Coturnix japonica: one gene and its partners. The main gene of each other region encodes a partner of the protein of the gene in region 3 in a complex. Links are inferred from orthologs where the notes say so. Each region holds a gene or a part of one and is shown on either strand. Other genes may lie near its edges.

Region 1 (11,181 bases), on a different chromosome or scaffold from region 3:
AAGAAATTATCCTGTGATGATCTAGGGTCAATTTTCAACCTATAATGAAGGCACTCTATAAGAGTTGCAATACAGAACATAACTTCATAGAATCACCAAGGTTGGAAAAAATCTCCAAGATCATCTAGTCCAATCATCAACCTACCACCAGTATTTCCACACTAAACCATGCTCCCCAGTACAACATCTGTACATTTCTTGAACACCTCCAGGGATGGTGACCCAACCACTATCCCAGGTAGCCTTTTTCAGCACCTGATCACTCTTTCAGAGAAGAAATTTTTCCTAATATCTAACTTGAACCTGCACTGGCACAACTTGAGGACATTTCCTCTTTCTTGTTGCTAGCAAAAAGAAAGAATAAGCCAACAACCACCTCACCACATCCTTTCAGGCAGTTGTAGAGAACAATGAGCTCTCCCTAGAACCTCCTCTTCTTCAGACTGAGTAACCCCAGTTCCCTCAGCCACTCCCCATAAGACTTGGGCTGCAGACCCCTCACAGCCTTTTTGCCCCTCTCTGAGCACCCTCCAAGACCTCAGTGTCCTTCTTGTAGTAGGGGGCACAAAACTTGCGTGTAGTACTCGATGTATGGCCTCACCAGTGCTGAGTACAGAGAGAAAAACACCTTCCTGGTCCTTCTGGCAGCTCTATTACTTACATAAGCCACTGGACTTCTTGGCTACCTGGGCGCACACCACTGGCTCATGTTCAGCCAAGTGCAACTAACACCCCAAGGTCCATCTCCTCTACACAACTATCCAGACATATTGCTTTGTTGTCTACAGTGAGTAGACTGCAATGCCAGTCCAGAGGACCGTGAAACTTGAGAACAGTCTGTGAGACCCTGACATAAAGGTCTGTGGAACCAGACTCATGGCAGTACAAAACAAGATATGTTTAAATCAAAGAATGCACCTAAATGAAAAGAATTTTTGCAGAAAAATTAGAATTAGAAGACAAATTTGGCCTGGTTATTTTCCCTTTCCCATATATCTCTACGAGTACATTATTTTCATCTTACTCTAGTACCTCACCTTTGCACCTGCTTTTCCTCATTGCTTTTTGCTCTTTCCTTGGATACACTCATTTAGCAAAATGAGAATGGAGGAAATTTGAAATACCACAACACAAAGTATATATTACGTTTTTAAGCAGCATAAAATTGCAGGGGAAAAAAAGGTTTTTACTGCTGTTGGGATGATCAGAACGGCAGAGTTAAAGCAGCGTTGAAACCTTAAGCAAAAGTGAAAACTACAATGTCAGTGAGCCAACGTCCAGCAGGAGGAGCCTCCGAGCTTCCTATATGGATTTTGCCTGTATACTAGTTATATTCATAAAAAATACTAGTTATATTCATAAAAGCTACCTCAAAAAACATTTTCAGACTCATTTACTGCTTTATAAGGCACTCTTATTTGATCTACCAGTTTTGATGTATAAAACCGAGAGTTTACTACTTCAGGATCTTGAAGTAATTGCTGGAAGTGTTAGGTTCCTTTTAGGCATCAGGAAACAGACAAGCGAGGAAGAACAGACTAGTCATATAGTAAGGACATATCAAGCTTGCTAGAGAAGAAGGAACAAAAGACATGCCTGTCCCTTCAATTTCTCTAATAGTTTTTTCCAATTCTGTAGTCTTCAAATTGGCCCACAAGTCAACAGCAAACTTTCTGGCAGTTTACAGAACAAAGAATTTCATGTTCATAGAGCCAAACTAAATAAGGGCAGCATTTGGACATTTGATTGAGAATAATATATGACACACCTAAGCTTAGAAAGCATTCTAAAATGGAGGAGGAAAGAATGCTGTTTACTGGAAAGCAATGTGAATGGCTTCTGTACCACAGATGAGTTCTAGAATGGAGCTACCCAAGCTTGATTCTAACTTACATTCCTTGGTAATGCACCCTGTACAAACCTGCCTCTAACAAAATATTTTCTACCCTTATTTGTCACTGTCCATCCTGTTAACCGAACAGATAAAGGTGAAGCTTTGGTAATACAGATCTACTTTATCAGATGTTTCATTAGAAATCATACTTGCAATAAAACTGACTTTATCTGAAGTCTCTAGTCTTAGAGCTCCCAGATCTAATGCCATCGATACCTTAGTTCAATCCTTTTTGTCAAATGGGGTTAACTTACCCTATTTGTGAGGCAATTGAAGATCCTCCACAGCAAATATACTGAATTCAAAGCACTATTTAATCCCTTACCGACAGCCTAAAGTGAGACAGGGCACGAGTAGAAAAGAGAGGTACAAAAGAAACGTTAATAAGAAGTGGGACGACAGCTGAGAAAGCTTCCCCTCTGTCTATACATGCTTTCACTGCCACATCCACCTACCAGCAATGAGGATAACTGATGCTACCTAGGGAGCAGTGTCGGGGTGAGGGGGCTCTCTCAGTCACCTGGACTGCTGGACACGAACACACAGCTTCACCTCCTTATCTAGCACACTGCTGGGCTGAAGAAACCGACCATAGAGGCCCCCACCACCGAGAACAGCCTGAGGAGGTCGGCGGGGCTGCCAAAGGAGATGAAAGGCGAGGCTGCCCTCCCTCCCGGCCAGCTGGCTGGGAAAGGCGGGGATCCTGCCGCCTCCACAGCTCGCCGCCCAGCTTCAGGGCCCGTTGCCCTTAGTGAGAAGCCGCTTCGCTTCTCTCCACCCACACCGGCTTCTCACGTGCGGCTGCAGCCGCTTTCCCTCGCTTGGGTTTGAACTGCCCGCCTTTACCAACCGCTCCGTTCTGCCACCCCAGTAGCGCAGCCCTAAGGCGAGAGCAGGGCGGGGGACGGCCTGAGGAGCGCTGCCTCCAAGGATGCGGACGGCACCATCTGGGCTCCGTGCTCTCATCGTACTTTATACTCCAGCTCGGCGGCTCCCGCCGCTCCCAGCCCTCCATAAAGCGCCCCGGTGCGGCCCCTCTGCCCGTCCCGTTCTGTCTCTCTCAGGAGCCGGGCTGAGGCGTTCCCGCTGCTCACAGCTTCTCAGAGTCGGGCGGGAGGCACCTTCAGCGGGTAGCCCGAGCCCTCACAGGTGGAACGTTGTCTGCACCAAGAGCTTAAAATCTGAGATGTAAGGGTGCTGATTAATTCATTTTAATTAGCTTATTTGTACCCGACAGCTCAGGAGCTAGATAATCATACAGAACTTCTGTTTTTTCTTTCATGGTTTACGCTTACGGCTCCACCAGAAACACTGTGAGATAAAACATGCTTTAAATCGTTGGGAGTAACTCCGAATGTAACGCCTCCACCCAGGGCAGAAAGATGGAGGTTCTCCGTGGTAACTAAGGCTGAGCAGGGCGGGCTCCATCCCCCCCAGAGCGGGGAAACGGGGCGTCTCGGTGTACGGGTAGTGCGACCGGAGGGTAACTGTAACGGGTAAAAACATTAGGGTTTTTGCGCTGGTTCCTCGTTCCATTTTAGAATGCGAATTAAAGAGTTTAGAAATGGAATCCAGGGTTTCCCAAAGTGCTTTCTGTAGCAGTTTCACGCCAGTCGGAAGAATTTCTCTTCAGGACCGGCGTTTATCAGCCCGTCGGAACGGGGCTATACCCCGAGGGAGGCGGCGTGAGGCACAGAAGTAATGGACGTTTAAAAAGACTCCATCCCACCGGGGAGCAGTTAAATGATGGATATAATCAAGATAATGAATGATTTTCTCGGGACAATCGATATATATTTTTTTCTCATGGGGTATAATTAGTAAGTAGGTTTTAAAGCATCACCTCGATGCTTTAATCATTTCGTCAAACCCGTTTTAAAATACAAAACGAGTGCGGGGAAAGATTATCGGCTTTACTTTAATTTCAGTGATTAGTTACTTGTGAGGTGTTAATTACTTTGTGTCCATCACCGGAGGAAGGGATCGTTCCGTTTTGGTTGGTTGATTTTTGCTCCCGGCAGCAGCTCCCACCTCGGAGGACCCGGGGCAGCGAACATCACTGCCGTGCACGTCCCGTTATTCTTACATGTGTTTTATTCCGGCACTAAGAAGTTACACTTAACTTTATTTTCGCACAGCAGCAAGACAAAGCCGATGAGCCGCCTAGAAATCCTTAGCACGTTGTTATTACTTCTAGCTTTCCCCAGGAGACGGTTGTTATTCGGCGTTCGGAAAGACGCATTTCCTCACATCAGGGAGATGTTATCTACAGAGCAGTATTTGTTATACGTTCTTACGTACCTGAGGACGTGCCATTACTCACACAGGGACGCCTAAGGGGCACCCAGCACTCGCCCAGCTGTAGGGCTGAGCCGGTGACTGACAGCACCGCGGCTTGCCAGTTTGTTTCAATGCGGGAATACATGGCACAGACCGCAGGGTACCGAGATTTAGTTACCAGCGCCAGGCTCAGCTCACTAGCGCTTCCAACTCTCACTCCCCCAAGGCTCCATCAGCCGCTATCCGCTGTAAACCCGACACAGCGCCTTAAGGACGGCGATGCAGACCCGCCCCCTCCGGCTTTGCGTAGTGACGCCATCATTCGGCGCCGAGGGGACGGCGAGGAGTGTGGAGGTTGGTGCCGCTTTCGGCTTATCCCTGCCGGGTTGGTGGTGGTGGTAGATTCGGGGTGAGGGGGGAGTGGGGAAAGGGTCGACCAAGCCCCTGGGGGTCAGTGGGGAGGAGGCGTGGCTGGCGCTGAACCGAGGCGGGCTGGGGGGGGATCATTGAATCATAGGCTCATAGAATGAGCTGGGTTGGAAGGGACCTCAAGGATCATGTAGTTCCAACCCCCCTGCCTGGCAGGGCCACCAAACATACACATTTACTAGATCAGGTTGCCCAGGGCCCCGTCCAACCTGGCCTTGAACACCTCCAAGGATGGGGCATCCACAACCTCCATGGGCAGCCTGTTCTAGGACCTCACTGGTCTCCTAGTGAAGATCTTCCCCCTAATATCCAACCTAAGTCTACCCTCTTTCAGCTTAAATCCATTTCCCCTTGTCCTGGTATTATCAAGAAGGGGAGAAAAAATGCTTTCTTTCTCTGTATGGTCACAACCTTAAAACGTAGGTCTGCAGTAATACCTACATGTTAGGTGGGGGTTGCTAAAAAATGAATTGTTTGTGGAGTAGTTGTCTGATATTGTGAAGGAATGTTGGTGAACCTGAAGGCAAAAGGTTAGCGTGCCAGGACAAACAGAAGTCCTTTCCAATGTGTATCATCTTATGTAGCATATATTAAACAGAGCTTGAATATTTTTGTATTTATTTTAAAAGAACTTTTTCAATTTCTGTCAACTTTAGATGGAGATATTGAAATATTTGTGTAAGACAACAACAAAAAACATGTATTTTATTTGTTGTTTTTGCTTAGAACATGGATTCACAGAAGGACGTTCAGCCCCCAAAGCAGCAGCCAATGATTTACATTTGTGGAGGTAAAGAAAAGACATTAGTGGTATTCAATGCTCTAATAATGAGGAATGTGCAGTCATAGTGCCACAGAGTACAGAAATCTACATAACTGGGTTGTGGATCCTGATGATGCATTAAGCTTTATGCACTGATGCTCCCATATGCATGGATTACTTGTGGTTATTGATGTGGAAGTCGTTCACTAGAACCTCTGTTGCTGTGTGGGGGTCCTGCATCTCTAGAGGATGATAGCAGAACTTTTATATATTGCATCTTGGAGACAAAGTTTTTTTGGAAATAGTGTTGTCATTCAACTTTCACTAATGCACAGTTGTCAGATTTTCTCTACCTAAACATAAGTTAATAAAGTGAAAATTGGAGCTTTTGAGTAACCACTTTAAAAGCCTCAGAAAAATTTAGGCTTAAGAAAATAAACTTGGTGGCTCGGAGGGGCTGAGAGGAAGGTTTCATTAGTGGAGTGTGGAATGGTACAGTAATGTTTGGATACTTTTTAGCAATCTAAGTTTGCCAATTCTTTTTTTTTTTTTTTTCCTTAACAGTATCTTAATATAATTCAGTTACTTATTAAAATTCACTGCAATTATTTTCTGTTATGCTTTGTTTGCTAGTAAAAGGAATTAGACCATTGTTACATCTGAAAGCTATCTGTGCTTTAGATATGCTGCTTTTGTTCACTCATTGCTATTCTCCTTCTCCATCATATCAGAATGTCATACAGAAAATGAAATAAAGGCAAGAGATCCGATCAGATGCCGAGAGTGTGGGTACAGAATAATGTACAAGAAAAGAACAAAAAGATGTATCCTTTTACAAAGGCAGTCGAATGCATTTGGGAAGCTGTGGGGCAAGCTGTGTAAGAAAATTGACTTCAGATTTATGCATTCCCTCTTTTTGTTCTCCTTGACCCCTTTCCTCCCCTGATCTTTCCTTGAACTGCAACGCATTTTTCTTTAACTGCACAATTCCAGTGGTGGTTTTTGATGCCCGGTGATTTGACCTGAAGATACATCAATTTTATACTTCAGTTTAATATTTCTGGCAACTTTGCTCTGTAAATCCATTGGTGTATAAATGCATAGTTTAGTGGTTTAAGATATTAAAATATTAAACTTCACTGTGATACTACTTGCCATACCATCTCAATTCTGTCTATACTACTTTTAGAAATGGGTTTCTTCCTTAAACTTTAGTCAGAATGTGCAGCATTCTGTTAAATTCATTGGTATTATATTCATTTTTGAGTTAAGTGTTAACCTTGTTTTCACAGCTCACACCTAAGCCTTACCTGTGTTTCAGCTCTTCAGTGTTTTTTGGACTCCTGTGAACTGCATAAGATAATCTTGGTTTGAATAAATCCCAGTGAAGACATATTGAAAGTCACGCAAAATCAGGTCTGAAATTTGGATTTGAACTCGACAGGACCCAAATCAGGATAAAAATAAATGTGTAAATAGAGATTCTCAGGCTGTTTTGTGACCTTGCTTGTACTCACTAAAATAAGTAGGTCTACAGTATAAAGAAACCTTGGATAAGGTAAAACTGAAATAACGTCATTTTGCTTTTCGGATGATTTCTCATGAGTCTGTATTAAGAAGTGGTTGCCGTTTTGTACTGATAAGCCCAAACTTTTTGCATCCATTTTCCTGTTCAGAACATTTATATTCAGAATATTTAATACTAAAATACCCATAGCGCCAATTTGTCTTAAAAAACACTGCTGCTTTGTGTGTGGTGCTAATTTAGCCTGATTAAATGCTTGCAAATCCAAATTTTGTTTCCAGTGCTGATGAGGCTGTTGAAAGACAAACATGTCATTTCACTGTTATCTGTACAGTATGATACCACTATTAGGGGGTGTGCTGGCTGCTGCAGAAAGCAACAGGGATGGGTTTTAGTGGGCCCAAGGTTGTGGGCAGTGGTGAGGCTCAGGGCACTTGGAAGAGCGTCGGACTGGATTTAGACTGGATGAAATACTACACTGAAAGCTGATGTTTTATGGAAGCTCAAACTCAACGGCTGTATTTCTGAAGGGAATACCCTCTCTGAAGTCAAATCATTTTTAAGAACCATTTTATGGAAATTATATTTAATAAAATATAAATTAAAGCAGTGTTATATGTTCCTAATAGTCAGAACGTTGGAGAGCTGCAGCTCGAGCGACCCCGCGCTGACAGGGCCGGCCGAGCCCCTCAGCTATTCACTCACTACGCGGCGCTCCTTCGCCATCGCTCCGCTGTGCATGCGCGGGCAAGGCGGGCGTCCACGGCGGAGGTGAAGGCTGTTAGGAGCGCGGTAGGTGGGTGTCAGGGCCGTCGTGTAACTCCGTGTCCTCCACAGAGCCGGCGGGGCTCTGCGGCTCCTCGCAAGGGGTTGGCTGTGTGGTTTCTTGCGGCTTCTCCGTCTATTACCTCCCCACAGCGCCGCCGGCCGCCATGTTGTACATAGCAACGGCTGCTATGTTGCCATTGCTGCCTCTCGGTAGATCTCCGTGAAGAAGAAATCGTGGCATCAGGTCATCAGGCAGTAGTTCTGCTGCAATTAGTACCTTGTAGCATTAAAACACGGCTATTCCTTAAATTAGCATTGCTCTAGCCCCCAGAGATTTATTTTTCTTTTAATGTTTAGTGATGAGTGATGCGTCAATAATGTATTTGCTGGACCAAGGAACTACTAAAACATATCAAATACCTATTGGTCATCTCGACTACAAGTTCATTGAAAAATGTACGGATGTTCCATACCTGGAAAAGATTCTCAAGGTGCTAAGGTAAACGTTATCTTTAATGAACTTCATTACTAATTGTATTCCCATTCTATCTCTCTTGAACCTCTTTGTAGTTTTCGTATTTAAAACCTTGAAATTAAGATGCACTGTGAAAGTAATTGTGGTAAAAGCGTCCAGATGATTAAATGAAGAGTTAGAAATTCAAGTCCACAGTGGATCTGTGTCTGTATGTCTGCTGGAAAATGGTTAACTGAGATTTTCTGATCAAAATCAAGAGGTGATAGATTTCAGTTAGAACAGGAAAATAACACTCTATAGTCACTGCATACAGACAAGTATGGATGTTTGTGGGGAATGCAGCGTAATTTAGTTCCCCTGTGTAACTTGCTTATGTGTTCATTTTAAAGGTCTGGTGAAGAGGGATGTTATCCTGACCTGATGTTGTTTTGTGAAAAGCGTATCGAGCATTTAGCTCCAGGGAGCAGAGTTCTCAGAAAGGATAAGCCAGCAGCCACAGCAGCTGATTTTACAGCTGAGGAATGGGAAACAATTAATGGTGAACTGATGGTACTGTATGACTCTAGTTCATTGTGGTCAGTAATGTAACCTCTTTGTTTGGTCAGTCTTGACTGATTGTTCAACCTCATTTTGTGCTTAAGTAGAACACGATTATTTGATTAAATGAGGAAATGATAGGAGGGTTCTGTTGTGGTTTTCTTTGTTAATATTTATTGAGATAATGCTAATTACTCTTTAATACCCATCATAACTCTACAGAACATATTTGTATATTATTATTCATTCGAAAAAGCTCAAAACAATTGCAAACTGCGTATAGAGAATGCACTTTTCACAATCTTTTCATGAAAGAGCAGATCATTTTTTCCATACTGTTCAGTATGGAACATACTGAAGATCTCTTTGCAACTGAAAATATTGAAGAAGTCTAAGTGGGCATAAGCATTTTAGATTATATTATTTTAGCCAAAAAACCAGAATCTCTAGTAGTGTCATTCCTTAGTAGCACCCCTTGCCTGTGATAAAAAATCCAGATGTATATATAACAGAAACACAGAATCACAGAACTGTAGGGGCTAGAAGGGAACCATCAGAGATCATCAGGTCCAGCCCACATGCCAAAGCTACAAGCTGCAAAGGTAGGTGTTCAGACAGGACTTGAATATCTCCAGAGGAGGAGAATCCACAACCTCCCTGGGCAGCCTGTTCCTGTGCTCCATCAGCCTCACTGTGAAGAATTTGTTTTGCATGTTGGTGTAGAACTTTTATGCTCCAGTTTGTGGCTATCTGCCCTTGTCCTGTTCCCACAGACCACTGGAAAGAGGTTGGCCATGTCCCTTTGACTCCCACACTTAAGATATTTATGAACATTAGTAAGATCAACTCTGAGTCTTCTTTTCTCAAGGCTGAACAGACACAGGCTGCTCAGCCTTTCCTCATTGGGGAAATCCTCCAGGCCAGTTATCATCTTTGTAGCCCTCTGCTGGACTCTCTCTAGGAGATCCCTGTCTTTTTTGTACTGGAGAGCCCAGACCTGGACAGAGCATTCCAGGTGAGGCGTGACCAGGACAGAGCAGAGGGGGAGATTCACCTCCCTTGACCTGCTGGCCATGCTCCTTAAATAATGAAGTGATGCTTTTTATGGCCCAGAAATTAACATGCTATGAATTGAATTATGTAGGAAAAGATAAAGCAGCAAAACTAATCTTACGAGAAATTAAGCGTATCTATTTTTAATTAGAATCTATGAAAAAACAGGTGAATGCTTTTTGTTGCTTTGTAAATGTAGAAGGTCAGTTGGAGGCAATTTTGTTCATAGCATGTTCTAATCAAATCATTCTCTTTCTTCTTGAGACTAATTGTTTCCTGTCTTTTAAGGGTGATTCTCCAAGTGCTTCTGAATGATTAAAAGCACTTCTATTTTTTGCATATTTCTCTTTATAATGGTTACCATTTTGAGGCTCTAAATGATGATAAAGGAATGTGCACTTGTGCTGTGTTCATCATTAGGTTTTCTTGAATTGACAATGTTATGAATAGAAATAACCCTTTAAACTTAAGGAACTTAAGCTTATGTTTAAGGTTTTAAAGCTTGATTTTAAGCTTTATTTTTAATCTTCATCTTAATTGCTTTTCCTCACGAAGAGCTTTGCATTGTAAGGATAGTTGCAGGGTCATTTTAGACTATGATGTGTATCTGTTGTACAGCTTTAAGGTACGGAGTCTTACTTATTTTCAGAGCTGGGTGGCAGAAATGAATGAAGATGATAATAAACCACAGTTTTTGAAAAGAGGCACACTGCATGAAGGACAGGATAACTTGCCTCCCATTCGTTGTTCCAGCAGCTGTCTCCCCACTTTCCAGGTATCTTCAGTTTTCTCAAACATTACTTTTACAAAAGTATGTTAATTATGTCTATCCAAAATCAGCAAATTCAGATTTTAAGAACTTCTATTCATTGAACCTCTCTCTTACTAGATGTATTTTGTTAACCAGAAAATAAAACTCTTTAAAGTGTCTCGTAAGAGACCAGTGCTTAAACAAAACTGCCTCTTTCATACTAACATGCATCTTGTAATTATCTTTTAGTCTTGATCAAGTGTTAATTTCTGAAGCAAATCTTAAACACCCTTTTCTGTACCTGTACATTTCAGGGTAGTGTTAAAGAGTATATGCTAGGTTTATTTGGGAGGTTTTCTTTTTACTGGTGTGGAATCATGGAATGTATTTTCCACAGATGAATGAAGAGTGAGCTTTATAACAGGATTTCCCTCTCTTACCTGATACAGAAGTTTCTGTATTCATAATCATGTTTCTGTTTCACGCTGCCTTGGATTTTGAGGTTACATCTATACAGAGAAATAAAAGAGGATCGGGAACACAGCTTGATTATTTCTGTTTCTAATTGTCCACACTGCTTAAATATTAGTGTTGCTCACTTTTTCCAGGGCAGAACTAAACCATGTTCTAGAAGTATGGGCTTAGAAGTATTCACTTCCATAAAACAGTGTGGATGAGATTTCAGCAGATGTAGTTTCTTTGCCAA
Region 2 (10,865 bases), on a different chromosome or scaffold from region 3:
CCACCCACCCCCGCCCCTCACTCACCTCAGCGGAGCGGGCGGCGGCCGCTCTCAGCCCCGCGCTCCCTCCCCGCTCCCGCCCCGGCCCCGCGGCGCCTCCCCCCGCGCCCTCCTTCCCTCCCTCCCGGCTCCGTCTCGCTACCGTCTCCTCACCGCTACCGGAGCGGCGACGGCGGCTGGGCCCGACTCCTCGCCACGTGACCCCGCCGCCACGTGACCACCCCGCTTCCCCGCGCCGGCTCCGCCCCCACACACGGGCCGCCCCACACACGGGCCGGTGGCCTGTCGTGAGCGGGAGCTCTCCTCAGAGCCAGGTTCTGAGGGGCCGAAATCGCTATTGCTGAATTCTTTTCTCTCCTCCTGGGTTCAGCATTTAGTTAATTTTTTATATTACATCTCAAAGCCAAAAAGGAAACATTGATTAGCTTTCAAAAATTCAGGTTTCCTGAAGCTGCTGATAAACTTGTTTAGATGCTTGTCTTTGGCTCCTCCTCATCCCTTCTCTCACGCCATTTAGAGCTACCCAATTTACCTTTGTGTCGGGAGCCTGCTTTGGCAGGGGGGTTGGACTCGATGATCTCTAGAGGTCCCTTCCAACCCCTACAATTCTGTGATTCTTTACCCAATGGCAACCCAGCCATCACCAGAAGGATGTTACAGTCCTCAAACACTAAACATTACAGCTGAAGAGGTGTTTTTTGGAAACTAGATAGTCCTAACATTAAGCAATTTATTTTCTGTAATTAACCTGCTTATTTCTGCCACACAATCAGAGAATAGATTATTATGATTTTTTTTTCCTATATGAAAAATATAACCACTAGAGTGCAAAGTATCACAGTGTATGTCCTCACATTAAAACTTTTATTATAGAAATGTGTTAACTTTTCCTTTGGACAACTCAGGAACTGTTTTTGTTGCTGTTGGCCTCTTATTTATACTCACTGAAAACGATGTGGCTTGATACAGAGCAACTCTGAAAGCTGGGTGGTGGTGTGGAGACATTGAGACCAAGCAGTAACATCTGAAAATGACAGTTTCAAGCTGCATTATTATAACGTGGGGGGATTGGCAGCCTGACTACAAAAAGAAAACATGAGGTAACTAAAACATCTAAGAAATTTCAGTTAAATAAACTGCATTCCAAACTCTCCTGCACTAATGTCTTTCCACTGGGATTCTTTGAAGTTAAAATAGTTCATCTGTAGCTTAAAGCATTTCCAGAGTGAGATATTAATGCTTCAAAGCACAATAAAACTGTGACCCACCATTACCTATGCTGCAGCAATTCTACAAAAAGCAGTTTAAAATGTTGGTAAGAGCTCCCCTTACTGGTCTGCCTTGAAATTGTTAGGCCCACACCTCTTCTGGTACAAAACGAAGATGTAAAGGATCAACTCTATTCACATTAAAAGAGATTAATATCATATTTCTATCAGAGCACCTATTACTTAGAAATGTCTTGTTGGTTGGTAAGTCATAAGACCAAAGATTTAATTTAGGAAAAATCTGTTTTCCCATCACTGAAAACCTACAAAGTGTATTGAAATACTTACGTATAGCAAACATAAGCCTTGCCAATGTCTAAGTTATACAACAGACATGGAGATCTAATCCTGACATAGCGAGTAATGCCTCATTTCACTAATCATTAAGCAATACCAGCTTTCATGGGATCATTTGTGAAAGTCAGTGCAGAGAGAGGGCTCAAATCCTCTGTGGAATTGGGAAATTTGGAAAGATTTGTTAGAAAAGCTCACTAATTTTCTCCAATGGCTTATTATCTGGTTGGAAAAGCCTCTCTTTATGTACATATTTATATATAGACAGCTATATTGCAGCAATGCAGTTTTCCATCAATATTATTTTCAGAGACCTACTTTTGAAGGCTCAGCTTGAGAGCTGACTGAAATTTGACGCTTATGGCAATGATGCCAACTAAGAAAAGTTAAAATAAACCACATTAATAAAACCATGAAATCCCATCACTTACATAGAAAAGGATCTTGTTAATGCACAGAACTCTGTGAGGTCACCTCAAGTACATGAGAACAAACTAGAAAGATGTTCTATCTACTCATTACACATGCAGATTTTTTACACTTTCAGTGTAAAGAAATGAGGACTTATCTTTGCAAGTTTTATCAAAGTGGCAATAGGGGGAAAAGAGCTAAAACAAAAACAAAATCAAATTTCTTCTTATTAAATAGAGCAATCAACTCTTTATTTTCGCCTTCCTATTCTTGCAATTACATATTAGCATCAGTAAAAACAAACAAAAAAAAAACAACCACACAAGCAGTTATATCTAAAGGATTGGTCTCAAGTTGGTGCTGCCCCTTCAATTTGCCACTGTTGATATGCAAATAACCAGTTTACAACTCAGTGTTATGATGCACGATTCACCCGGTGTCAAAACCTTAAATCCTCACCACCACTCCCCAAACTCAGAACAACACAGAAATGTTAATGCTGGTAAAAGTAGGTAATTATTATGAGGTACGTGTAACATGTGTGACAAAAAAATAAAGCCAAACTATTATTTTGGTATCCAAAACTCATAAAGTTAAAGAAGTATTTGATTTCATCTGACCATGCCTCCAATGTATGGGGATGCTCCATCAAGCACAGACTTGCTTTACATTCAATCAGTCACTCTATAAGCAAATTTAATCAATTCCACAGGAATATAACACATCAGAAAGGTTCATAAGGGATTCCAATACAGAAACATCACTCATTTCTGGGTCATACCATTTCACAAGATAACTCTAAAGGAAAACCAGAAATCACGCATCAAAAAGACCCCTCTGCATGTTCTTAAGTGTATCATTTTATGGATTTTAATAAAGACACTATAATATTTCAAAGTGAGAAATAAAATTCAGTTCAAGAGTATTTTGGCTATGAAAATTACTCACTTTCTGAAATAGCCACTTTAATGCAGAACTTACTAACCACAGTCTATTAAAACAGTAACAACCCAAACTACTGAAATTTGCTTTTTCAGAATTGGCAGCAATCTCATTTCTCATCTTTTTACTTCTGAGTAATAGGAAAAGAGTTTTGGTCCATTAACTCGCCCACTCTCTCCTGAAGGAAGTTAACCAGCTCTGCTAATACAAAGACATGAGTTTCATCCAGGTCTTGTATGATGAACTTCTTTCCCAAAGCATTTGACTCATCCAAGTAGAGCAGAAACTGCTTCATTGCTGGGTCACTGCAGAGACAAATACACATCAGATTCCACCTCATTGTAATAAGATACAGCTAAAAATTAAGAGCATCCTTTTAAGACATTCTCAAAGTTCTTAGGAAAATTGTACCAACTTCAAGAGCTGCTCGCAATCAAAAGAATGTTAGAAGAAAGACAAGGTTTACACAAAGAAGCAATGAAAATGATACCAAAAGTGGGTGGTCCTCAGTCTTCTTCCACACACTCTTTTTTATGGGTGCACAGAGGTTTATTTTTGCTTGTTTCTTTCAGATGTACCTTACCAACACACTATGAGTACCAGACAGCATAAGCTGGTGTGCCCAGGCATATGTCAGGCAATACACACATATTTTCACATAATCAACATACAGGAGTGCACTCAGTGCCAGTAGATGTACGTTACAGCAGAAACACCGATCTTATTCAGCATTTGAAGATTATAATCCTTGAGATTTTGTCCTCAGAACAGTTTAGCTATATACTGGAATAATACAGAGGGAAGGAAGAAATCTGTATATTATCAGCATTTCATAGTTTTATTTTAATGTTTTACTTTAATGTTTAACACATTCAGAAGTATTTATTTTTTCCAAACTTCTTGCTGACTTTTTACCTAAGATGCCCTGGAAAAGCTGAGTTGTGAAAAATTGGTATCTGAAAAGTAAACAAGGGGACAGGTTTGTAATCTGCTCTCAGGATGGACTCATCAGCTACCATTATGCAAAGGCAAGAAGGAAACAAGAAAGCAACCAGCAGCTAGAAAAGCCAACATAAAAGTGAGTTACCCAAGGGGCTGTTCAAACTCTGATGGCATAACAGATGCTACAGACTTCTTGTCAGGCAAACTATTTCCTTCCAGGGAGGATAATAAAGTTTCAAGCTAATACTAAATGGGAAATGATCACAATATTGTACAGGAACACACAAATCTTCCAGAGCAAGTAAAATAAATTACAAAAAAACTACAAGGCTGTACTGTCTGCTTGAGATATTAGAATTTCTTGTTTTGCTAGTCAACAACTCTGCTTTGGGTGTCTTGAGAAAATGCAGGAAGGCCATTTCTTGCGTTCAGGTTTATCAGCATAGTAGCACGCAGCCAAATTGGAGCAGAGAAACTTTTTGTGATAGTGGAATTCATGCTCCAAGCTGCTCATACCAAACTATGAGGCATTCAGATGTGAGCTGGCTAATGTCCAGTCAGCTCAGAAGTAAACCACAGTAGGCAGACAGCTGTATGCACCATGAAGGATGTTCTGCACTCATGCAGTTACAGTCTGTTAATATGTTTACAATTTAAACATACAGCAGAAATCCTGTACATAATGTAATGATATATAATGACTCCACAAACCTTGAGTGACACTTTCTTTAACCTGGAGGTAATTCTTATCAGAACCTTAGTCTAGGGACTTCAGACTGTATAGAAACAAATGGACTGCACGGATATGAACAGCTTACTGTCTGAAATTATGAGCATATTCATTTTAGAGTAGCCAGCCTTGAGTGTGCGAACTGGAATTGATAAAAAAAGAAAACAAAAGACGAAGCATGGACAAATTTCCCTTTAGAATCAGAACACATCACCCAGGATGAAAACTAATTAACATTATTTACAATATAACAAACAAGATGAATACATGATGGTTAAGTCTAAGCAGAAAACAACATATCTGAAAATATGAGTCAGGAATTAAGATTACCCACAACTGTCTCTCTCCTTCTTCCCTTAAAAACCATGCCTTTCATCTGTCTGTTTGCTCAGTGTCACAGAATCACAGAATGACCCGGGTTGGAAGGGACCTCAAGGATCATGTAGTTCCAACCCCCCTGCCTGGCAGGGCCACCAAACATACACATTTACTAGATCAGGTTGCCCAGGGCCCCGTCCAACCTGGTCTTGAACACCTCCAAGGACGGGGCATCCACAACCTCCCTGGGCAGCCTGTTCTAGGGCGTAACCACTCTCCTAGTGAAGAACTTCCCCCTAACATCCAACCTAAATCTTTCCTCCTTCAACTTGGATCTATTGCCCCGTGTCCTGCTATTGTCAGCCCTTTCGAAGAGTTTACTCCCCTCCTGGGTGTAGGTTCCCTTCAGTTATTGAAAGGCTGCAATAAAGTCACCCCGCAGCCTTCTCTTCTCCAGGCTGAAGTTTACAGCAAATACATTTTTGGGTCTAGACTCTTAAAAGCACCTAAAGTATTTCCAGTCCTAAAGAAACAGTTGAGTAGATGCTGATGCTGTCACTAACCATTCAATCAGGACGCCCTTCAGAACATTCACCATCCTCGCAGCTCTCACAAACGCTGCAAGGTGCGGGTGGCAGCAAAGACTCCTGTTTGAGGTTACAGATAACAGCAGATGAAACCTGTAAGACAAAGAAACGCTTTAGTTGAACTCAGCGACCCAGGACCCCCCTCGCCCCGCCAGCACCCAGAGCGGCTATGCCCCATCCCCCCACCCACTCCTCCGACAGCAGCCCAGCCTCCCGTTGCCGTGTGCGAACCGTGGCCTTGCGAAAGGCGGCCGGGGCGAAGGCAGACAGGCTCCAACCCGTCCCTAGGTTAAACCGAGGACGGCGAACGAGTAGCTCCGGCCCAGCAAGCCCAACCACTGCCCCCACATACACGTACTACGCAAGTGCAGCCCTCGCTCCTCCTATTGCCCTCCTGACACTGTGCGGCGTGATGACGTTGAGTGCGTGAGCGACGGTGCCGGCTGCGAAGGGAGATAGGAAGCGGAAGGTACGGGTAGCGCTGTGGAGAGAGGGGGATGGCGGCGGGGCAGTAGGAGGGGCCAGGGATGGGGTCTGTCCGTGGTCCGATGATTGTGTTTGTCAAACCTCAGCCTTGAAGCCCCTCCTGGCGTGGGGCTGGCCGCTGGCATTGCCCCAGTTGTGCGGAGGCGACCGCAGGGAGAGCGTGCTTATCAGAAATGTAATAAATGAAGTCAGTGGATAAGTGCAGTGCTGAAAGGAGACAGGGCAGAAAGTTGGTGCATACAGTAATCGGTGCTTTCACATGGCCTGAAATGCCTCATTGCTTAACACTACAACTGTACATTCATTGAACCTCAATCTGTAGATGCTAAAATACATCCCTTATTAACTGTGATGTTACAGGGTATGTCAGCAAGAAAAGACAAACGTTTCCAAATCTGACTTGCCTACAATGTATATGAGTTGTTAGAGCCTGCTAAGTCAAAATACAAGACTTGGGTGTTAAGATAAAATTAATTATGAACAGCTAATTACTAAGTCATATGCTGTACTCAGCACTGTCTTCATGTGAACATGATGCGTTTAAGTGAGGATTACTAAGACATTGGAAAAGGCCTCACACAGAATCACAGAATTGTAGGGGTTGGAAGGGACCTCTAGAGATCATCGAGTCCAACCCCCCTGCCAAAGCAGGCTCCCTACACCATGTCACACAGGAAGGCGTTCAGGTGGGTCTTGAATATCTCCAGAGAAGGAGACTCCACCACCTCCCTGGGCAGCCTGTTCCAGTGCTCCGTCACCCTCACTGTAAAGAATCACAGAATCACTGTAAAGAATCACAGAAAAATGCCTCTGCCTCAAAGCAGAGCAGGTAGTCAGAGATGGATACTTACCAGTATTAGCACAAATATGTAATTGCATGAAGATTTTCTGTAAACTTTTGCTGTAACCAAAATGCAAACTACTAAATTCAGGAGTTTATAGGCTTTTTAATTTTTACTTAGAGTGCTTTATAACGCACAAAATGACATAAATATGCTTTACAACCTTTCCTGTAAAAAGGGAAACATGGCTACAAGTTTTCTGTTGTAATTGCCAAATCAATTTATTTATTTTTTTCTTTTTCTGAATATACAGAATGTCAGTGGCTGCTTACTGCATATTTTGCTGTAGACAAATAGGAACTTCTGGCCCAGCCACCAAACACCACCCATCTTGGAATAATATAAGTAAGTACAGTTCTGTAAGTATCAATCAAAGGTGTTATTAAAAGAAGAAAAGGTCTGTGTGGGTGTAACACTGTGCATGATGAAGTTGACAAGAAGAGACATAAATCTCCACATAACTTGTGATCAAAGCTTTTATTTTCCTGAAGCGGATGTCTGCTTCTGGCTTGCTTTGCATTGCAGTAGTAACACTAGATTATGTAGATGATGGAAGTCCCACCAAAATACAACCTCATTAAATTATTTTAAATTACTTCTGTTTCATCTTTGGTCGTTTTTTAATGATTAGCACAGTGAAAGCATTGCATCCATAAAGAGTTAGTAACAGAGCAGCAATCGAACAAACCTTGTTTCTCTCTCCTTCTGTACTGAATTTTTTTTCCTCTTCTTTAAGTTCTATGATCATCCCTGCTTAGTTTCTGCTTTCTTTAATGCCTTGTGTATAGAACTGTAAGAATTTTTGTTTTAAGGTGTATTTTCCAGCACTAAAAGACAGGACATTTCTTACCATTTCTGCTCTATGGGAATCACTGCATTTTTTTTGTTTGTTTCTTCTTTGCCAGTTATTTCTTTGGCATGTAACTGCTTCTTGTCTGCATGCCACAATTCTTAAAGTCAGAAGCTGATGGCAGTGGGTCTAGGGCAAACCTCCTTCATGCTGAAGAAAACCAATTATTCATGATAGGTGAGATACATTCCATTGGGTTTGCTGCTACTCATAGCAATAGAGTTGCACTGTACTTACAACCTTAAGTCTAGATAATCAGCTGAACTTCACCCAGCACAAATAATTCAAGTCTGACATGAATCCTCACATTTAAAAGGGAAGGTGCTGTAAGTGGCATGTGTTTATTCAACTCTTTGCTCTGTAAGTTATATTTTTCAAGAAATTCCACTCAATCTATTTGCTTAGGGAGATTCTGCAGGGATTTTCATGTACACTGAATACCCAGTCAAGAAGAAAAAGTTGACTCCTTAACATAGTGTGGAGGTTCAAGCAAATGCTGATGATATAGACAGAATTTTTCCTGTTGATTCTTGCAGCTGAGCACAAAATGTAATTGATGAGTAGCAACACTCAAAGTAAGTAACAGCAGTAAGAAACATTTTGTTGCCTTGATTAAGAAAGCAGGAAATTCTAATTCTGCAAGATTTTATTTAATTTTAAATTTAAGTTGTGATTTTCTAAAAGCCAGACAAAAACAGAAAAAAAGCTTATTCAGAGTTCCTGAAATTCCTACTGTCTGATAATCACACGTTATCTATTTATACTGACTTGATACATACAAGTTTGTTTGACATGATCTTTTTCATTTTTCAAGGAAAAATTGCAAAAGTAACTGGATCGCTTATACTAGGGTAAGTTGTAACCAGCAAGCTTATATGTAAATTACATATACAGTGAAAACTTCAATTCACGTTACTTTCAAAAAGTGTGACAGTATTTGAGGAGTTTAAATATGCTGTATTTTTGAAGCATATCTTCTGGTAGATTGACTTGTTTTAATTATATTAGAGTCCTTTTTCTGTGCTAAATTGATGTAATCGATGGACTTCTATGTATTTGGTAAAATCTGGTATTTGTAATTAACAAATAAAGGATGATTTATGCCAAAATCATTGTTAAGATAATTTTGCCTTTATCTTCCTCTTTTTTAATAGTATTCACATAGTTTTCTTTCATTTAAAGAGGTTTTGTATTCATTACATATGAAGTTTGGTCCTTAAAGAAGTTACTGCAAATCGATACTCAAGCTATACATCAAGAAAAGCTTAAATCCCACGTGTATATATGTACATCTTCTCTAAATCGAAATGAATATCAAGGTAAGATATGTCACTGTTTTGAAACGAAAGATAAAATTAACAGCATACAGAATTTCTGGACTTTACTTGTATAGCCAGATACATTTATTGAGATGTGACAAAAATAGTTTTCTTTGCAATGTCACCTAATTTATTTTTCTTGAAGATATATATCCATACAAAGTTATCTCAAAGTATAAATATGACTATCTGAAAAGAAATAAAAGCCAGCCAGCATCTTGAAATAATTTGCAATATCTGTCTTTCAAACTTAAATAATCTAAAAATGCTCTTTTAGGAATCACATACCAAGCCAGAAAAGAAATCCATAGAGCAGTAAGGAAAATACTCGAGGCAGAAGCTAAAATTTTCCGGAGACCTTTTAATGGTAGGTGTGAAAAGTGTGGCTTTACCTGTGAATAGTACTCTATAGAAAAACCTAAACCAGGGAGGTTGTGAGTGTCATTCTGTCCTATTTTACTGCAGCAATTTGATGTTAAAATATTTCTCTGAATTACTACTAACAACTAATTTTGAAGCATTAAAAAGAACAGATTATTTCTTTTTAATTCAGTGAAATAGAAATGTGCCTGTTAAAATGCTCATTAGGAATAATTTGGGTTTTATGTGTTTTCTGCTAAAGAACGCTTTAGTACGTTTGATGGAGAAGATCATGAATGTGCATTATGGCTCCTCTTGAAAAGGACTCAGTCAGAAGACAAAGAGGTCCGACTGCAGGCTGTGCAAGAGCTGGCAAAGAACACTCACTGGCATGGTAATGTATGCTAGTGTAGCTCAATTCATCTAAAAAAAAAATGTAACAATGTCTCCATTATCTGCTTCTAAGCTTCTGCTGCTACCTTGGAAAAATTTCTAGTATCTGAAAGAGGTGTAATTTGATCCAAAATTAGTTTTTCTTTACTCTGTAAGCAGTTTTTTTGTTCCTAATACTCTTCCTCATTGTTACAATCAGAAAGATCAACATGGTGGAAGGGTGATACAGGAGTATAATAGCAAAGGGACTAGCATGAATGGAATGGTGTTACAAAGGAAAAAGAAACATGCTCACCCATCTCCAAAGACCTAGGCTTTCAAGGAAAACCCCACAAGAGAGGGATCTCCAGAAAGAGATGCTTTCCCAGTGGCAGTCAGCCCTTAAATGAGCCTTTAGGCCTTCACCTGTGCTCTCAGGGCTGACCAGATCCTTTCAGGCCTTGACTCAACAGTTACCATACACAGCACATAACTGCAGTGTGGGCCTCTCTCTACTCCCCCACCAGATTATCAGGACCACCATTTAGAATAATGCTGCCTTGGTGCTAGAGAGAACTTCAGGTTCGTTAGCTCCCTGGCCTTTTGGAGATGTTAAGAATGTCATTGGTTCTGGTAGTAATTGCTGTAAGGCTCTGCCAGAAAGGGGTTTAAAGCCATGGTTCAGTTTAAAAAAACAAACAAATAAATAAATAAAATTGGTTAGGTGATGATAGGTAACCACAGCAAAACAGTGGTGACCAACTAGAAATAGAGGACTTGCAAATACAAGCATTGTAAATAAACCATTTTCTGTCCTAGTTGTTACTGTTACCTTAATACTGAAACATCTTAAGGATTTTCACAGATGTATTCCACAGAAAAAAAAAATACTTTGATTTAATGCCATGGTATCATCAGTTACATTATTATTACATTACATGTCATAAACTCACCAATAAGTAGGAAATCTTCCCCTTTGTTACTGTAACGCTGTAACAGGATGGAAAGTACAGTGATAATAGCTGTGCGGCAAAATCTTTGGCTACAGCAAATGAGAATGAGCTGCAGATGCAAAAATGAAGGAAAAGAGCTGCTTACCCTTGGAAGGCCTTAGGAGATGCCCTCACCTCCACTACCAACTTTT
Region 3 (10,405 bases):
TGCCTTCCTGCTACACATAAAACCGCGGCAATCCCAAAGTACTTTCTATTTTCCCTCCCTATGTCCCGTCAACTGCTGGGCAATCTTTATGCCAGCAGAGCATGGTGAGGGTGGTAGACTCTTCATTCAGAGTCAGAAAACTATTTTATAGCTAAACCAGGACAAGTAACAACTATGGAAAGCAAGGGCCGTTCAGCAGTCAAGAAGGAAGGCTGCACCTGACCACAGCAGGCTGTACTCAGACAAGCTGCCAACTCCTGTCACTTCAGCTGCTATGACAATACAGAGCTGAGAAAAAATCCCCTGGAAAGAAATTTCCAAAGAGTTTCTGACCAAAGCAACACTGGGGCTGTGAAACCATAGGGAGATCTGATGGCAATGCAGGTCTTTGCCAAAACAGGCAGGGAGCTGCAGTTGCAGCACCCTGAGTGAACAAATCCTGCTGTACGCGGTATCTTGCAATTTGATCACTAAAATATTTCAACCCAGAGGCTTGGCTGAACTAGCACAACTCAGGGGCTGCTCCCCTGCTTCTCCAGATAGTGAAGGAGGGAATGGGGCTGACTGAAAGGCTACTTCAGTATTTGCTAGCATCCCTAACATCAAGGTGCCTGCACGCACAGACTTAAAACAATGAACCTGGACCAGCAGGAAAAGTACACATAGCAGAACAGAGGGCAGCACAACAGAAGTTCTGTAAATGGCCTTCCTCTGTGAAATACCTGAGGGGTAAGGATGTTTCTGCAGCTTTACTGCCTGGGGTGCCTCATAGACAAAAGCAATTTTCGCCACTGTTCCCTGAGCTATTATAATCCAACGCATTCTCCTTCCATAAATGCTTACATTTGGGAAACAGTGTCATGGGTAAGTGGCTGCACGGTGGCTTCCTGCAGCTTACCCTGCAGCTCTGATTGTCTTGCCCGCTCTTGCAAAAAGGTTGAGATGGATCTGGAGATAAACTTCTGTATCATACTGGTAATAAAATCTGTCAGAGATTAAAAACAGCTTAAGAGTCTTCACTGAGCTGAGCTAAAACCTGAGTACAGGACAAGCATGGACAACAACACTTCTGCGGAGAGGGCAGAAGGAAAGAAATTAAGAGCAGTAGGGAAGGTGAAATCCTGCTCTGTAACAGTTCTGCATTTATACCAGGAAAAAACAAGGTACCCGATTTTAACTTAGTGCTGTGCCTGGACCATCTTGTAATTCAAGGCCAGAACTATAAATCATCAACTGATCCTGAGCAATTTTTATACTGTGAAATTTAATAGGCTTCGCCCATTCTTTAAAATCTCTTCAAAGGTGCTTAGGAAGAATATTAAACATACGTATAATCAAATATCCACATTTCTGGGCACTACGGTATTTCCTACATTTCCTTCAGAGGTGAAAAACATCATCTCTACCAGCGAAGCAACTGGAGTGGCCTTTCAGCATTCAGGCCCTCAGTGAAAGCTTGCTTCACATGCAAAGTGCTTAGCCCCAGCACAAAAAGGCAGTGCTTGCCTTGGCTGAAGCACCTGAAATCTAGCCCGGCTTTTATAAACCCTTTCAGCTACACATTACTGACAGAAGATTAATTAGTCAGGAAGTGAAGAAGGAACACATGCAATCTGAACCCTCTTTGGCTAATCACATAAGAGGAAGAACAAAAGCCGTTCCTCACTACACATACCTTCCCCAGTATCCTGGAGATCACGATATAGGTACTGCACTGCCTCTGAAGTACACTGGGGTTTGTTTTCAAGAGGGGAGAAAGAAAAGCTTGTTCAGCCACCAAAACAACTGCGGTCAGGGCAGAGGCAGGCACTGCCAGTTCGTCCCACTGCTTTAGGCAGCAACCTCCAAACTGCCTCACGCTCCTCTTTCTCTACTGAGTGGTGATGGTGCTCAGACAGCAAGGGGAGAGCAACCATGGAGGACAATAACCCCAGCCAACATATGCTCAAAACTGGAGAGTGTCATGGAGCAAAACCACGTACTGGAGTGCAGAGCCCTTACTTCTAAGGATAAGCATTAAACTAGAAACATATTTTGAACTATCATCAGTTGTTAGATCAAAGAGTCTGACAACACTTCAAGGCTTATTTGCAGCCTTCTAAAAAACTTAGTTTTAATGTTGCTGGAGATAATGAGCTGAAATAGCACTGCTAACGCAGGAACGTGTCATAGCTTATCCTGTACGGAGACAATTCTGCCAAGGACTCCCTAAGAGACGTGCTTCCAGGGCTCTGGAAACAATCTCAAAGCAAGACTGCTCAGGAAGGATGGGTTTTTTCTCATCTCAGGATAACATGGTTGGAAAAAGGACCCATCCCAGCTGCAACAGCAAAGTGAGCCCACTCAGGAATGTTGAAAGAGTTGTGGCATATGCAGGCAGATCACAAATTGTGTTAAGAGAGATTTTTCTTCCTCCTCTCTCAGAACAAAGCATCATCTTCTGCATGACAAAGACAAGTCAAAAACAGCACAAAAGAACAACAAAAAGAATCCTTTTCTGCTCAGATGGGAACATGCTGCCACCTGCGGATGAAAGCAAGCAAGGCCATCTTGAACTACAAACACACTGCATGCTAGTTAGTGGTCCCTTCATCACAGACAGTAGGGGCTTGCAGGCCTTTCCCAGTGGGAGGCTGAGCCAACCGGCTTACACATTTTATGTTTTCTGTTGGTGTTTTTGTGTTTTGTTTGGTTTGGTTTTTTTCAACAAAACATTTTCCCTTACTTTATAGCAAAGGTCTGCACTGATCAGTGCCGCATGTGCTAGAATACCTGAAGACTGTATACGAACAGCCTCAGATCTGTACTGGCACCTCAACAGACCTGGTAGAATTCTTTTGAACTTCTCAATAAAATGGACCCTTTGATTCAATTTCCCAGTAGATCCAGGAGTTACCATAAGCTGAAAGCAATAGAATAGAGATCCTGCTAACTCTTTTAGAATAGCTGGGTGCCAATTATCTGGAAAAGAAATGATCAGCAATTGGGAGTGTAATATAACCAGTAGCTGCTAAAAAACTTAAAGCTTTGCCTGCAATAGAGCTGATTTTTAAAGGTTCTGGCAAAGTGAGGAATCCTGAAAGCCATGAGCCAATGGACGCAAGAAACACAATCTGAACAGACTGACAGTATGAATGGTAAACTTGTAGGCATTTGGGAAGATACAAACTCCCCAATAAAGGCCGATTGAGGCTTACGATCCCTCATTTCATATACTGTTAAGACTCCCACTATAAAGAACCAAGAAATTACAGTTTAAAATAATATTTTGAAACTATCTTTATACTTTTAAATGCTGTAGGTGACATCTCCTAAATTATCTTTGCAGAAATAAGCTATTAAGTAAATGAGAATCCAAGGCTGGTATGGAACAAAGAAGCTGCTTGATTCTGTTTAAAATAAAGAGTTCCTCTGAGTTATTCTAAGACAAAAGAGCTTTACGTTTTGTTCTATGGCCTTGCACATACAGCTGTTTAAGGTCTGATGACAACTTTTTCCTTCTTTTACTATCATGTGACGCTTTGGAATATGGCTTCATGTGGCATGTTACGGAACAACAAGTGATCAACATGAAGTATTCAGCGTCCCTGAGCCATTTAAAATAAGGTCTGTTACCAGGGAATGCATTCTCCCTTCTGTACTTACAGATATCTGATATTGGCTCTGATGTCATCATTGCAACACACCCTGACAGGCGTAACTAATTTCTGTAAATACATATATTATTGTATAACCTGTCCTCTTGCTGCTTTCAGCCAACAGGCACACTCACGTCAGAGGACTTTACCACTATTTGTAAGATAAAAAATACAGGCTGAAGCTCTGGAGTTCCACTCCCAGCTCTAGACAGCAGCACCAGCCCACACTCAGGGTGCCCTCCCAGTCGTAAACCAACTCTTCCCAGTACTTTTGCTCACATCTCCTCCCAGTCTGCTTGTTCCTTTTCTTCAATTCCTGGTTCCTCATTGCATTCACCAACAAAAGTACATGACTAATAAATTGGGACAAAAAGCAGCACACAAACCCAAAAGAAATTCCACTGTTCTTCATCTGCTTTTCTGCAGCAAAATATTCGATGTCATCTAAGCCACAGATGGACAACTCTTAGTCTTTTCTGTTCAGCTACACTTGAATTGTAGGGTTCCTGGTGCCATGTACCAATGCATTCAGTAGAAAACAGAGGTTATTATCCCTGAACTCGTTTGCTAGTCCTGTTATCTTCACATTCAGCTGTCTAAGCTGAATTTAAACCATGGATGCAGATGTAAATAAACACTTACCATCGTCCACAGAGAAATGACAGCTCTTGTCATTGTAGTAAAGAAGTTGCCTCTTATCAGGGCGGGTAACAAAGAGAATTTGGTCCCCTAAAGCCTTTAAAACAAATGCAAAAAAAAAGGACCCCAAATCAGTTCTATTTTAAGAATAACAGACCCAGATCCTGTTCTACAAAGAGATCAATGAATCAGAGAGCAGCAAAATAACAAGCAACAAAATGCAACCAAAGTGGACACCATCAATAAATGCATTAATAAAGCAAAGACAAGATATAGAGGGCTGAGATCAAGATATGAAAGCACAATTAAGTGCCTTCAGTTGCAACATAGTAGATAAAGCACCTTTTGTAAGAAAGCTTTGACAGCTGTGCTGTCAGGTCAATTCTAAACATAAAGGCCGACGTACAGAAAAAGGTACTAAATCAGATCTTCTGAGTCACCACAAGAACAAAAAGAACTCAGAAAATTCTCTCTTAGCTTTTACCTCTCCTTTGAGAACCTATCCAAGAGTTTTGCTGAAGCCCAGACAAGAGTGACTCACCTTTATAGCTTTATGTGCATTGGGCAGCCCTTCCTCTATTTCTTCTAAAAAGATTCCTCCCAGCCCTTGCTGGTCATGCTTGTCCAGGAGCCTGAGCAGAGCCTTTTTATCTTTCAGGTTGTACTTGGGTTTGAAAGCAAACTTCCCATCTATAACTTCTATTTTTGGATTATTGACTAGAGCCTGTAATAGAAATATACATTTTAAACCTTGAAAGAGAGAACAAACTAGTACTTCAATAGCTACAGTATGTCAGCCATGTGTTATAGCTGACAGTTCGGAGGTTTGAATTTGAAACAAATTTTAAATCCTTGGATCTGAGATCCAGCCTGGGCATAACTCACTGCAACATACAGCACAACATTCTCATGGTGCTGCTTCAGAGTGAAGATGTCTCATGGACAATTGAAACGACTTAAGATCTGATCCAAATCAGTTTTTCTGTGCACGCGGTACCATCACGGATTACTGACGCAGTGATAATCTTATATAAGCTTTTTGGTTCAGTCTCAATATTCTAATTTGTTATGGAAACAACCTAGAGCTACTCTTCAAAGCTTTCAGTGGAGCCAAGTTTTCATGATAGCAGCATTGCCAGTTTTCTGTTCTCCAGAATATTAGTATTAATTAAAAACATAACTTAAAACATCCTAGTTTTACTACAGAGATTTCTCCACCCCCCTGCATGTATCAACAACCTTTACTACTTTGTTGCAAGGATTCTAAGTATAATATCAGCAAAACCAGATATTGCTGAAGTATAAATACTAAATACAGGGTTTTGTTGATTTACTAGTCTTGAAATGCCATGATGGCATTTGGATCAATTAAGCACGAAGATGAACACAGCAGGAAGTTGCAGTGACTCTGCAAGAATGAAACCTAACATAAATCATGAAACTGATGAACTCCAGCAGGGGAACTTTGAGATCTATTACCCCACAATTCCAGACACAGATTTCACAACAGAATTCTTCAATTCAGTAAACAACAAAGATCTGAGAGTATGAGTTTTAAGGCTTTCACTTAAGTAATTTGAAATCTTTGATAGTGATAGGGCTTTCTGCTTGAACTCTGTTTAGAAGAAATTTCTTTTAAAAAAAACAACAGTTTGCATGTATAAGATTAGCAATAAGAAGTTCACCTCAATTACAACTTACTCTTTGCTCTACTAACAGCAATTCTAATTGACCCTTTAAAAACGTCAGAATAGCTTTCATTTCAGTTATTTCAATAGCAGGAGGCACAAGACAAATCATGAATCAATGCAACTTCTCAAAAGCAGAACTTCAATATTTATAGAGTCTGTAATTAAATAAACATATACAGTTCAAGTTTATCACTATCCTCCAGTGTCCAATCAAAAGCTTTTCTTTACCTCATTCATTAACCACTGCTTCTGTTTGAGTCCAATATCTAAATGCTGTGTTTCATCCAAAATCTCTTCTAGAGTTAATGGATGCGTATCACCACGCTGGTGCCGAGTCTGGAAAACAAAGAGGATCTATCAGTGATCTGTAGTTCTTTATTCAGCAGCTCAATTACCACAGGGTAACAAAAAACTGGCAGAAGGTGATGACACAGTAATTTCTGTGAAACCAAGAGACACAGCACACGGAGCATATGAGTACCAACTTCGGGCCTCTAAAGATGTGAGAAAAATCAGTTTGTATCAGCTGAGATAAATGACAAAATTATCTGTCAAGCACCAAGTTACAAGTTATTTTGATAAACAGCTCATGAATCCTAAAAGCTGATAGCATCTTCAAATTCCAAGTTCTAATGCAAACAAAACCAGTCTCCTTTTTTTAAGCAGACCTGGAATAACTGGGATTCCAGTGATGAAGCAACATAATGGGCCTTTTGTTTACTCACAGCATTTTACATTTTAACAGCCCAGTTTCTTGAAATTCTTGGTCTTGTGCAGTAAATAAATCTCAAAGTCTGAAACATTCAGCATCATCTTACTATCACAGAGAAAAAATAAAGCATTTCCAAGCATTATACTTTTACATGAAACCACCATACCTTCATGTAATTCACTATTTTTGCAAGGACTCCAAACTTGTAGCCAGAGCTTCCTGAAAGGGCTTTCAAATTAAACGAGCCATTGCTGTGATCTACAAAAGGAGAAAATAAACACATAAACAACGCTTTCAACAACTACTTCTACAGCCAACAACAGAAACATTTCAGGAGCAGTCATTCTAGAGGGGTCTGCGATATAAGGATGGGGATACAGACATGCAGCTACCTGCTGGCTCCAGAATGCTTCTGAGCACGACTCTGTATCCATACAGATACTAGGACATGAGCTCTAAGAAAAAAGCGAGCAGCTGCAGCACTAACCTGCAGTATTAAACCATAAAACTGGCAAACTCAAAGCGATTATCCCCACTGACTTTCCACTCCTATCTCAGCAATATGGAACAGTTACGCTTATTTCAGTCAATACCCACCCAGTAAAGTAAGGCTGTGTTTCTCAAGATGACTGATCAGCAGGTTGCCCTGCTCACGCAGTTACTCAGTATCCCCTTCTGCTACTAAGCAGTAGCACAAGTATCACAAGGACTGTTACTGCACAAAATTTGTTTCAGCATTCTCCTAAGGTTGAGCTAATGATGCTGTATTAACTGCATAATGCAGTATGTTAACTTTAAATGTCCACTAACTACTACCAGAAGCTGCGGGTCCATTACCAGCATAATGTTGCTCAAATCTAACAGAAATAGCTTTCCAGATTTTTAACTTCTCCAGAAAAGCAAAATTCCCCCCCATGTCATCACAGGTCTGTGCATCTATTCCTACTGTTTCTGTGAAAAATAAGTGGAGGGACAGGAAAGAGTAATGGAAGCACCTCAGCTGCAGGAGAGGCTGCAGTGGGTGCCATGCTGGGTTATCACCCAACCTCAGGAACTGCACATTCTGAAGCAATTCCACAACATTTGAATGGAGGCTTTACACAGCCATAAACCAATTCTAAAATTAATGCAGGATAACCAGCACAACTGCAGCTACATAAGAACATTTTATTCTGGTTACTAAATTAAGAGAGAAACAACAAAATCCAGCTCCCCATACAGACCCCGCCTACAAAGATTTTCCCCTACGGGATCACAGGAAAGCAATTGCTTTGAAGGAAACATGGTAAAATCATACACATAATGAGAGACGGGCAGTGCCTAAAACAAAGATCAGGGCTGAGCTACAGCTAAGACGACTTATCACGTATTTGTTTTGTCAGTTGAATCTTGAAGATTATCTCGTTCAATCTGCTTGCCTGCAGTCCCTGAAGCTTCCCCCCAACCCCCCCACATGGAGCCAGGCTGGCCCTGCAGGGAGGAACACCCATAACGTCACAGCCTGAGTCCCAGAGCAAAGCAGACAGCTCAGGGCCGCTGCCCTGCACCCCTTGGCTAACAAGCTCATCGTGCAGTGAACATCCCAAAAAATGAAGCATAGGAAGGAGTGGCTTCTTAATTCCGGCAGTAAGAGCCTATTTGTGAATGATTTCCTCCTGGGGGTGGGGGGAGATGGAAATGAGCATAAAGGAAGTTGTCAGCAGCACCGCACGCTGGCCTATCACAGCACAGCTCCATCTTAGCTGTGCCATAGGCTGCATTAAAACAGGGAACGGCACGGCGCTCACTCAGCATCCTTACAGACAAGAGGTAGGTGCACGTTATTTTATAATGCTGCCTTACGTTCATCTTAATTGCTGCAATAAAATACACCCGTAACATATGAGCCTGTAAAAAGCCTACAAGGATGGTTTTTCTCTAGGTTTAGCTGGATTTTATTCTGTTCAACGCGGGGTGCTTGCCTTGCACTGTCAGACACTCACCGTCTGTGTGCTAATGGCAAACTGATGACCACTCCATCTTAGAGACAAGCTAACCCAGCCAGCCCGGATTCAGGAAACAAAATGGGTTTGATGCTTACTGGTGAGGCCGCTTGCTTTCTGCAGCCTCACTCTCATAACTGAGCGTGTGTTTGTGCAGAAAAGACATGGAAGGCATTTTTCCTTACAGAGCAATTAATTAGAGCTGAAATTTAACAAACGTATCTCACAGATGGGTATTTTGCAAACCTCACCAATTGCAGTAGCTAAAAGAAATGCGTGTTTGTGGGTGTGCTAGAAACATGTTCCAGAAATCAGTACGTTCAAGTAGGAAGACAACCCCTTTGGGTATTAATATCACTGTCAGTACCGGAGCACTGGGTACCACACAGAAAGATGAAAATGCATTGAGGTTTGTAAATGCTGTTACCCCAAGATACCTATTATGGCTTCTTAAAAACAGGATTTCCTCAGCACTGCTCTGAAATCAGTTTTTTGCCAGTCATTTCCCTCTTTATAGAGCCAAATCATTAAACATTTAACTCACTAAATGATGCAGGAGCTGAACTGCATACAAATTGAAGCGGCTTACAATATGAATTTAAATTGTGCCTTTATGAACGAAGTAAACCTGTGTGAAGTCAGCCCGTTTTCTGACAGCTTTCAAAGATGCTACTCTCGTTAGCACTGCACTAATTCCAAAGGCTTAGCAATGGCTCCTTCAGCCTTGCACTCTGTAATCACAGCCAGCAGCAGCTGATGTTAACCTGCCCTGCCCTACAGCCTCAGCTACAAAGTTAAGAGAGGAAACAGTGGGTACTGTACAGCAATTCCCCAAAAGTATCTGTAGCAAATGCTAAAGACAGGGCTCCTTCTCAGCAGCAACGCGGCTCTGTTTCAATTAGATCCAGTGAAGAGGGAAAGATAAAGAGCAAAGAGTGAAACTGTTAAATGATCACAGTAAGATGTTCGTGACAAGCTGACCTGGCTGTACCATCCTGGTTTTTATTAATACCTTTCTTTATAAATAATGGCACTAAAATAATGACAAACCATCTAACTGCTTTGCGGAACCCATTTCAGTAGACAACACCACAGTTCTCCTTTGCCACTTCTTGTTCTTTTGGACAGTTTCAGGTTTTCACTTCCTCACTCCACGCTTGGTTTTAACTTGCTGGAAGATTACTACCTCATCTTAGCCAGAGAAACACAAGTTACTGTAGCTCTTTAGATACATTTTTATTACTTTAAGACCATATACCAAAAGTGCTACAAGTTCCTTCTGTTTTGGGAGACAAAGCAAGGGAAAGAAGGAAACTGGGGAAAGACACCCAACTGCAAAGATGTTATTGCCAAACATCTCATCTGCTGTAACTCCGAGAAATTCAGAGACAGACAAAACTGCTTTTTGTTCTAGATAAGCTGCAGCAATTACTGCGACACTGCTTACTTTCACATTTCATAGCAGTGGCCTTTCTGAAACAGACCATCTTGACAGCAATATGACTCATGCCAAAGGCGTATCTGCTGAAGCCAGCTTCTCATTTTCTCCCTCCCACGCCACAGCCTTGCCTCCTGCTGGTACAAATAGGCAGCACTGGAAAAGGGACGGCAGTTAATTGGAGAAGGTGGCTGAAAACAAGAAGGCAGGTTTCAGAAGGGGTTGGGCTGGTTGTTCCTTCCATCTGTCCTAATGCTCACAGCACAGATTTATGGCTGGTCCTCCATGGAGCCAGGAGTTGGACT

Evidence for each region.
Region 1: GTF2E2 (region 3) and POLR2K share a complex: the UniProt entries of both Homo sapiens proteins name them as parts of the TBP-based Pol II pre-initiation complex. The link is inferred for Coturnix japonica from reciprocal best matches to the Homo sapiens genes GTF2E2 and POLR2K.
Region 2: GTF2E2 (region 3) and GTF2H5 share a complex: the UniProt entries of both Homo sapiens proteins name them as parts of the TBP-based Pol II pre-initiation complex. The link is inferred for Coturnix japonica from reciprocal best matches to the Homo sapiens genes GTF2E2 and GTF2H5.

The regions. Positions count from the first base shown.
Region 1 is NC_029517.1:116,283,606-116,294,786, forward strand, and holds POLR2K (DNA-directed RNA polymerases I, II, and III subunit RPABC4), read left to right. Parts: upstream 1-4,433; 5' UTR 4,434-4,453; coding exon 4,454-4,528; exon of another isoform or gene 4,529-4,559; intron 4,560-5,329; coding exon 5,330-5,393; intron 5,394-6,097; coding exon 6,098-6,190; intron 6,191-6,359; coding exon 6,360-6,382; 3' UTR 6,383-6,848; downstream 6,849-11,181. Other genes in the region: SPAG1 (sperm-associated antigen 1), read left to right, coding at 8,019-8,158, 8,524-8,683, 10,374-10,499. UniProt on the Homo sapiens protein: DNA-dependent RNA polymerase catalyzes the transcription of DNA into RNA using the four ribonucleoside triphosphates as substrates.
Region 2 is NC_029518.1:46,896,961-46,907,825, reverse strand, and holds GTF2H5 (general transcription factor IIH subunit 5), read right to left. Parts: upstream 5,951-10,865; 5' UTR 5,851-5,950; exon of another isoform or gene 5,724-5,850; intron 5,586-5,723; 5' UTR 5,504-5,585; coding exon 5,469-5,503; intron 3,221-5,468; coding exon 3,040-3,220; 3' UTR 2,203-3,039; downstream 1-2,202. Other genes in the region: protein SERAC1, read left to right, coding at 7,075-7,165, 8,485-8,521, 8,853-8,989, 9,267-9,356, 9,612-9,743. UniProt on the Homo sapiens protein: Component of the general transcription and DNA repair factor IIH (TFIIH) core complex, which is involved in general and transcription-coupled nucleotide excision repair (NER) of damaged DNA and, when complexed to CAK, in RNA transcription by RNA polymerase II.
Region 3 is NC_029519.1:30,641,329-30,651,733, reverse strand, and holds part of GTF2E2 (transcription initiation factor IIE subunit beta), read right to left. Parts: intron 8,490-10,405; exon of another isoform or gene 8,191-8,489; intron 6,939-8,190; coding exon 6,847-6,938; intron 6,305-6,846; coding exon 6,197-6,304; intron 5,002-6,196; coding exon 4,819-5,001; intron 4,375-4,818; coding exon 4,281-4,374; intron 1-4,280. UniProt on the Homo sapiens protein: Recruits TFIIH to the initiation complex and stimulates the RNA polymerase II C-terminal domain kinase and DNA-dependent ATPase activities of TFIIH. Both TFIIH and TFIIE are required for promoter clearance by RNA polymerase.